Arabidopsis thaliana: one gene and its partner. The main gene of each other region encodes a partner of the protein of the gene in region 2 in a complex. Each region holds a gene or a part of one and is shown on either strand. Other genes may lie near its edges.

Region 1 (3,809 bases), on a different chromosome or scaffold from region 2:
GTTTGGCTTGGTTTATCGTGGTGTGCTTAACGATGGCAGAAAAGTTGCTATCAAGCTCATGGATCATGCAGGAAAGCAAGGGGAAGAAGAATTCAAGATGGAGGTTTGATTATTTTTAGCTTACTCTTTGATCTTTATTTTTTCAAAGCTTATGCACATTTTGCTGTTTGCAGCGTTTTTGATTACTTGATTGATCAATTTTTTGTATCTGGTGCCAGGTTGAGTTACTGAGCCGTCTGCGTTCACCATACTTGTTGGCACTTCTTGGTTATTGCTCAGACAATAGTCATAAGCTGCTTGTGTATGAGTTCATGGCAAATGGTGGTCTGCAGGAACACCTGTATCTTCCCAACAGTAAGTTTCTTTTTCCAGTAGAGTTAGAAGTTGCTGCATGTTTGAAGTTGTCATCTGAAGACTCCAAATTTAGTCTATCTGTCTAGATGCTAACAATTTGAACATGAATCCTAGATAGTGTATAATAATTACGAATTGGTGAATATACGTCTGGAATTCTTGTTGGATTTGATAGAAAAATCTCTTTTTCTTGCATTTAGGGTCTGGTTCTGTCCCACCAAGATTAGATTGGGAAACTAGGATGAGAATAGCTGTGGAAGCTGCAAAAGGCTTGGAATATCTCCATGAACAAGTATCACCCCCGGTGATTCATAGAGACTTTAAGAGCAGCAATATTCTGCTGGACAGAAACTTCAATGCCAAAGTTTCAGATTTTGGATTGGCTAAAGTCGGATCAGATAAAGCTGGTGGACACGTTTCTACCCGTGTATTAGGCACACAAGGATATGTAGCTCCTGAGTATGTTTTTCACTCAATCATCTCTTTGTTCTTGTTTCCATCAGTTAACTTTGATAGGTTGGATACTAATACCAATATTTTCAATATCTTATGTCAGGTACGCTTTAACTGGTCACTTGACAACAAAGTCGGATGTCTATAGCTACGGTGTTGTCCTGTTAGAGTTACTAACCGGTAGAGTTCCAGTAGATATGAAGAGAGCTACAGGAGAAGGTGTTCTTGTCTCTTGGGTACGCGTTCCTTTCACAAACTGCTCTTGTGTCATTTCTTCTTGTCTTTGCTCTAATAACTTAACTTTTCCTATCTCCAGGCTTTGCCTCAATTGGCTGATAGAGACAAAGTAGTAGACATAATGGATCCAACACTCGAAGGACAATACTCTACGAAAGAAGTTGTTCAAGTTGCAGCAATAGCAGCAATGTGTGTTCAAGCAGAAGCTGACTACAGACCCTTAATGGCAGATGTGGTGCAGTCACTGGTTCCATTAGTGAGAAACCGTAGGTCAGCTTCAAAGCTTAGTGGCTGCTCTAGTAGCTTTAGCTTGGCTCGGTCTCCTAACTCTCCGGGTAAAGCAAGCATAGGTTCTCAATGAATAAATCAATCAGAGAAGACGAAATGTGAGGCTTTTATTATGTAACGGTATTTACTAAAACAGACAATGATGTAAACACTTGAGTGATCAAACATGGAGTCATAGAGATAATCATCAAATAAACTTTTTCGAATCTCTATGGGCTACTAGTTATTGGGCCAATCCTGACCCATTACTATATTCTACAGAGACGAGAATGATATTAGTTCATGAGAAAAAAGGTCACGTGAGGGAACGTGGGCTTGATGGAGAAAGGAGGGTACAATCGTCATTTTGAGTACTCGTAAAATTTGCTTAGAACCCTAGAAGGCTAATTAGAACTAGGGTTTATATAGTTTGCCGCTTCATCTCCGTTTCTTCTTTCCGATTCGTGTTTTCCCGTCGGCCGGAGATATATCGCAACCCTAATCCGAAATGGTCCGTCGCAGTTAACTCCTCTTCTTTGGTTTCACGTTTTTTGATGTTTCAAATAGAGATTTGATGATATATATTTTGGTTGAATTCAGGCGTCGGAGAAGAAGCTATCGAACCCAATGAGGGACATTAAAGTGCAGAAGCTGGTTCTCAACATCTCCGTTGGTGAGAGTGGAGATCGTCTCACCAGAGCCTCCAAGGTTTCACTTTTTTTTATCTGTTTTGTCTGGTTTTCATATCAACCCTGTGTGTATGCTCGATTTTAATGGAATTAGTTCTTCGATAACTTGGTAGGTGTTGGAACAATTGAGTGGTCAGACTCCTGTTTTCTCCAAGGGTAAGTTATTTTCTAAGTTGTATCAATTCATCGTTCGATCTCTGAGAAAATTTGCTGGAGATAGTTAGTGATCTCGACTAAAACAGGGGCACGATGCTTCTGAAGTTTAGGACGATGAGTTAGTTTTTTTGAAGGTCATTAGTTCTTACTTTTTGGTGTATGATTTTTAATTGTTACTGGCCTGGATCCATAGATAATCGTAGTGAGAATCAGTAGCTCTATCAATTGTTTTGTATCAATTGCTTGGAAGATGATTGTAACTTTGTTTTGGATGAAGAGAGTTTTGACATAAATCTTAACACTTGTTATCTCTTTTGCAGCTCGATACACTGTTCGTTCTTTTGGTATAAGACGTAATGAGAAGATTGCTTGCTATGTGACTGTCAGGGGAGAGAAGGCAATGCAGCTCCTTGAGAGTGGATTGAAAGTTAAAGAATACGAACTCTTGAGAAGGAACTTCAGCGACACTGGTTGCTTTGGTTTTGGTATTCAAGAGCACATTGATTTGGGTATCAAGTAAGTCTCATTCTTTCTAACACATACATAGAACAACTTTAGAGTGGCTTTTGTGTAACCAGTGATCAAACGTACGGGGTTTTTAAATATATATTTGATCTCAGGTATGATCCATCGACTGGAATCTACGGCATGGACTTCTATGTTGTTCTTGAGCGACCAGGTTACCGTGTTGCGCGCCGCAGAAGATGCAAGACTCGTGTTGGAATCCAGCATAGAGTGACGAAAGATGATGCCATGAAATGGTTCCAGGTGAAATATGAAGGAGTCATTCTCAACAAGTCTCAGAACATCACTGGTTAAACAAATGTGTCAAACAAATAGCTATCATCTGTTTTGTTTTTTTTGGGTTCAAATCGTATTTTCTCAGTTTTGTTTTGCTTCTCTGTTCTTCAGACATTTTGATTTTCCTTTATATATTTTGCGTATCTACTACTCCGACAAAAGCTGACTAAAGGTCTAAAACACATTTCCGAATTTTCGATACTCCGACAGGTAATGAACATTCTCTATATCTACATAACTCATCCCCAAACCGTAATTTTGTAAAATAACACTCTTAGTTCAACAATAATCGTTTGTGTTATGACTTATAATCGCATTCTGGTGTTATAGTTAATAACTGCGTTATAGTTTTTCATGAGGTAAAATGCATTTTTACATAAATTTTTAAACGAATCTTTGACTATGCGTCTATATGTTTAATATTTAGAAGACGTGTCAATTATATAATTACCCTGTGTACTTGTACATTATTTAACATAACAACAACTTCAAAAACATTATCCAATCATGTTTCATTGTCAATTCTCAGTTGCATCAGATTCGAGCGAATTATTGATTGGTTCGACATTAATTATCATGATCAGAAGTGACCAAATCAAACATATACATTACATACGTTTTGTGTGTGTAAACACGCGTTACATACATAAACTAATCAGAAAACCTATACAACCAGAAAATACAAGTTTTGGCTCCATTCTGACAGAAGAAGTTGGAGACAATAATGGAGTAATTAAACTAATAATTATGACACAGGCTTTTATAGTTTTATCTATTTATGATTTTACAATTTAATAAAGGACTGGAGGAATCTTGACTTGATCCCACACAGATTTATTATAAGCCATTTCC
Region 2 (4,074 bases):
AGCTAGTCATGTTCACCCCAACCTCCCAGAATATGACGATATCTTTGCAAGGCTCGGAGCGCTTCGTGCTCCCAGTCGACGCTGAATCTGCTCATCTTGTCCTTCTGTTCATATATATATTCTTTCACACGGAAAACAGTTCCCCTCATTCTTTACTCTGACTGAATTTGATATTCTTACACGTTATACAGATTGAAGTAGTGGTGTGATTCTGCTTGGTCTTGATTGGTTTTCCTTGTCTTTTTTTTTTTTGTGTGGATAAACAGAATAGAAAATAACTATTTGCGAAGAGAAAGATTTTATAATACCATTCGAAATGTTGTCATAATAGAAATAAATTTTGTTCTCTAATTCTCCATCTTGCTGAAACTGCAGTGCAAGAAAACAAACAAACAAACAAACAATGTCGAAAAAGCCAGACAAATGACATGTTATGGCAGGGTTTGACATATCAAAGTCCCTCCATCAGAGTTTCTTTCCGTATTGCAGTTCAATGAAAGAAACCAAGAACCTGACCACCCACATTCCGTTTAATAGCTTCTTCATGATCCAAAATGCCATCGGGAGTTGTAATCACTATATAACCCCACTGCATATAACAAATTAAAGAAGGTTTAAGTTACGATTAGTTGCATATTCAGAACTAGTGTAGAACCGAACCTGGCGCGTTGGAAGTGTGCGTTCTGTGTATTGCCCGATCTCATTTGCCTTAACGTCCTGCCTATAAGTGAGAGCTTTGCAATCATTAACCCTTCCTTGTAGATCAACAGTTATTCTTCCAACTCTGTGTGGATCATGGACTTGGAAGTTCTTGATGTACCCTATACATAATACATCAACATACATTTTGTAAAGTAATAGACAAAAAACTAGCTGATTCTGCGGTTTGAGCATAGAAATGGTATCTTTATACTTCAGTCACAAACTATCAACTTTGAAAAGAACTACTTCAAATTCCTAACTAAAAACATACAAAACACAGACGAAGATCGAAACAAACTTAAGTTAGACCATAAACTAAACAGGAGCAGATATGACTTTCTCCAACCATAGATCAAGATGTAACTTATCCATAAGAATCAAAAAACAGAAACTTTTCAATCTTCTGCAACTTCATAGTTAACCAAGAACAAAGCTTAATCATTGGGACCATGTTGTAACCAATCTCTTACATCGAGTGATCACACATGGAAATTCTTGAGCTATACGTGTTAGGATCAGCTCAAGGACCAACAAAACAATAGAGACTATGGATCATTAATCATACTTCACTACAAGCAAAAGTGACTAAAACCAATGTCGACGAAACTGATAAATCTAAACAAGTAGATGAAAAATTAGGGAAATGAATTAAGACCCAATTAGACCAGAAGAAAGAAGAAGTGAAAAATCTCACCTTTCTCTTTCATGATTTTGAGAAACGAAGACATTACGGTAGAGACAGGTTTCAACTCCACCGAAGCTTTCCCTCGCTTCTCAGCATTCACGATCGTTCTCAATGCATCGTTCAATATTCTCCTCCCCATTGATCGAAAATTCCGATTTCTAATACAAATTCTATAATCGAATGACAACGAATCAAAAAGAATCGATAACCCCTAAAGTTCAACAGAGCAGCAGGAAATGGGTTTATTCCAACGTTTCTCAGAATTGTGGGTATTTCGACATTTCGAAAAACATTAGGGGTATTTTAGACTTTTCACGTTCACTTACATGAGCTAGGGTTTTATTTTTTTCAGAGGTCATATATAAATAGCTCCATTCGTCTTCTAACAAAGCTCCGGCGCCACCATTAAAATCTCTCGATCTCTATCTGCGAAATTTCACGGTGAGCTTAGTATTACTCTCAATTGTTCTCAGTTCAGTATGTCTTGATTTTCGTAGCTTAGATGATCTGATTTTGTGTAGATATTTTGATTCAGCGAGCTCTATAGTAGTAGCCTTTAGGAATCGATCTGTTAATGTATGTGTTGTTGATTGGTAGTATCATTTTTGGTGTGGTGAAGGTAGGTATTTGAAATGGCGACAGTTCCAGGACAATTGATCTGGGAGATCGTGAAGAACAACAACTGTTTCTTGGTGAAGCAGTTCGGTAGAGGAAACTCTAAGGTTCAATTCAGCAAGGAGACTAACAACCTCACCAACGTTCACTCTTACAAGCACTCTGGTAAATTTGTACTCTTGTTTACGAGATTCTTTGTTTCTGAACGAAATGATATCTTGGCCATTTGAGAACAAATGATTACTTTACATCTCTGGTTGGTTGATTTAGTAGAATAGATTGGGAACTAAAGTTGTTAAGAAATGTTGATGTGTTAAGTGCTTTTGGTTCTATGAAAGATTGTGGATTCTCGACTATTAGATGATTGTGGTTGAAACTTGGCTGTTTGAGATCGTCTTTATGCACTATTTTATTGATTCTCGAGTATAAGCTTATTTTCTTATCTGTTGCAAGTTGACCGTGAAATGTAGTTTCTTTACATTTGACCATTTGAATCTGTATTACAATTGTGTATGTATCTTCTAATTTAAAGACAAAAATGGTAGTCTGAGTTGAGCAGACACTTCATACTATGTATTAGGTTTTGTTATTGTCTTGAATTAGGCTAAAGTTTGAATCTTTTGATGTGGTTTCAGGTCTTGCAAACAAAAAGACTGTGACCATCCAGGCCGCTGACAAGGACCAAGCTGTTGTGCTCGCCACCACCAAGACCAAGAAGCAGAACAAGCCTAAGCTCTCTGTCAACAAGTCTATCCTCAAGAAGGAATTCCCCAGGATGTCAAAGGCTGTTGCTAACCAGGTATTACTCAATTTTTATTACTTTAGTGTTTTTTATATGTCTATGGTGTGCTTATAGGTCTCTATATCTAGTTTTGTGTGTTATTTTCACGGCTATGATCTACAATTGGTTTTTATGTTCTTCCCTCTACCTGTGAGAGGAGAGTTAATATGTTATGGTAAAACGATATGATGCATAGCTGTGCAAAGATTAAAATTTAACTTCATATAAGGCTCCTTTTTGTGGCATATTGATGAAATATTAATTTTACACTTGGCTATTTTCATTGATCTGCTTAATGTTGCTGTTTATTGGTTTCATACGTGAATACAATCTAAACCAAATGATTGTGTAAATGTTTAGGTGGTGGACAACTACTACAGGCCGGACTTGAAGAAAGCTGCACTTGCTAGACTCAGCGCCATCAGCAAAGGTCTCAGGGTTGCCAAGTCCGGTGCCAAGCAAAGAAACAGACAAGCTTAAGCTTCTTCTTTCACAATCTGTTTTTTTTGAAGTAAAAGATTTTGTTGAACAGGTTTTATTTAAGTTGTTGCTTTGAAGTTGAACCATAATGCTATTCTCCTTTTTCATTATCCTTATTATAAAGGAGTTAGAAGTTTATCTTGTTATGCTTGATGTTTCTGGTGTGCTTGTGTTACATTTTGTTAGATCCTTTTATCGAATCAAGAACTTTCTTAAAATCTCTATTCTAGATTTTATTAGCAAATCAAATGTAATCAACAACCAAGTCCTTATATATTATGACTTTTGAAAGCCTAAATTGACTCAAAATAGCAAACATAAATGTTTAGATTTGTTGCATCAAATGTGATGTTCTTGTGGACTATAATGTTGACATTTTCATTAGATCCCATCAAAAACCAACTTGAGAATTCCATCTTAGCATGCTCTATACTTATCCAAAAGCCCATCAGGCCCATAGACGGCCCAACTTATAGCATACGGAAAGGTTTATATTAGGGTTTCTTAGACATGAATTAATTCTGTTCTCTTGCTGTGGCCGTCTCCAACACCATTTCGAAGACCAGGGAGATCGAAGCAAAATGGAGAAAGGAAAGGGAAGAAAGGAAGAGGTCGTGACCAGGGAGTACACTATCAATCTCCACAGGCGCCTCCATAGCTGGTAAAACCTAAAGCTTCAATACTTTTGACCTTATTTGCAATATCTCGTTTCCGTTTTGCTTAAGTTCGTTCTGGGCATAGAGTCTAATGATTAGACTAAAATTGCAACTTGTATTGATTCGAATTAGGTTTCTTGATGAATGAAAAGAGT

What was found. The genes of interacting proteins can lie anywhere in the genome.
Region 1: AT2G19730 (region 2) and AT3G58700 share a complex: the UniProt entries of both Arabidopsis thaliana proteins name them as parts of the large ribosomal subunit.

The regions. Positions count from the first base shown.
Region 1 is NC_003074.8:21,709,842-21,713,650, forward strand, and holds AT3G58700 (Ribosomal L5P family protein), read left to right. Parts: upstream 1-1,603; 5' UTR 1,604-1,819; coding exon 1,820-1,822; intron 1,823-1,911; coding exon 1,912-2,019; intron 2,020-2,113; coding exon 2,114-2,156; intron 2,157-2,476; coding exon 2,477-2,672; intron 2,673-2,776; coding exon 2,777-2,975; 3' UTR 2,976-3,263; downstream 3,264-3,809. Other genes in the region: AT3G58690 (Protein kinase superfamily protein), read left to right, coding at 1-103, 219-354, 555-813, 911-1,043, 1,124-1,405. UniProt on the Arabidopsis thaliana protein: Component of the ribosome, a large ribonucleoprotein complex responsible for the synthesis of proteins in the cell.
Region 2 is NC_003071.7:8,509,733-8,513,806, forward strand, and holds AT2G19730 (Ribosomal L28e protein family), read left to right. Parts: upstream 1-1,753; 5' UTR 1,754-1,828; exon of another isoform or gene 1,829-1,859; intron 1,860-2,006; exon of another isoform or gene 2,007-2,010; 5' UTR 2,011-2,019; coding exon 2,020-2,167; intron 2,168-2,637; coding exon 2,638-2,801; intron 2,802-3,143; coding exon 3,144-3,263; 3' UTR 3,264-3,559; downstream 3,560-4,074. Other genes in the region: AT2G19710 (Regulator of Vps4 activity in the MVB pathway protein), read left to right, coding at 1-85; rps15ab (ribosomal protein S15A B), read right to left, coding at 491-589, 661-821, 1,397-1,526; AT2G19740 (Ribosomal protein L31e family protein), read left to right, coding at 3,845-3,924. UniProt on the Arabidopsis thaliana protein: Component of the large ribosomal subunit. Essential in leaf polarity establishment, probably having a role for translation in leaf dorsoventral patterning to specify leaf adaxial identity.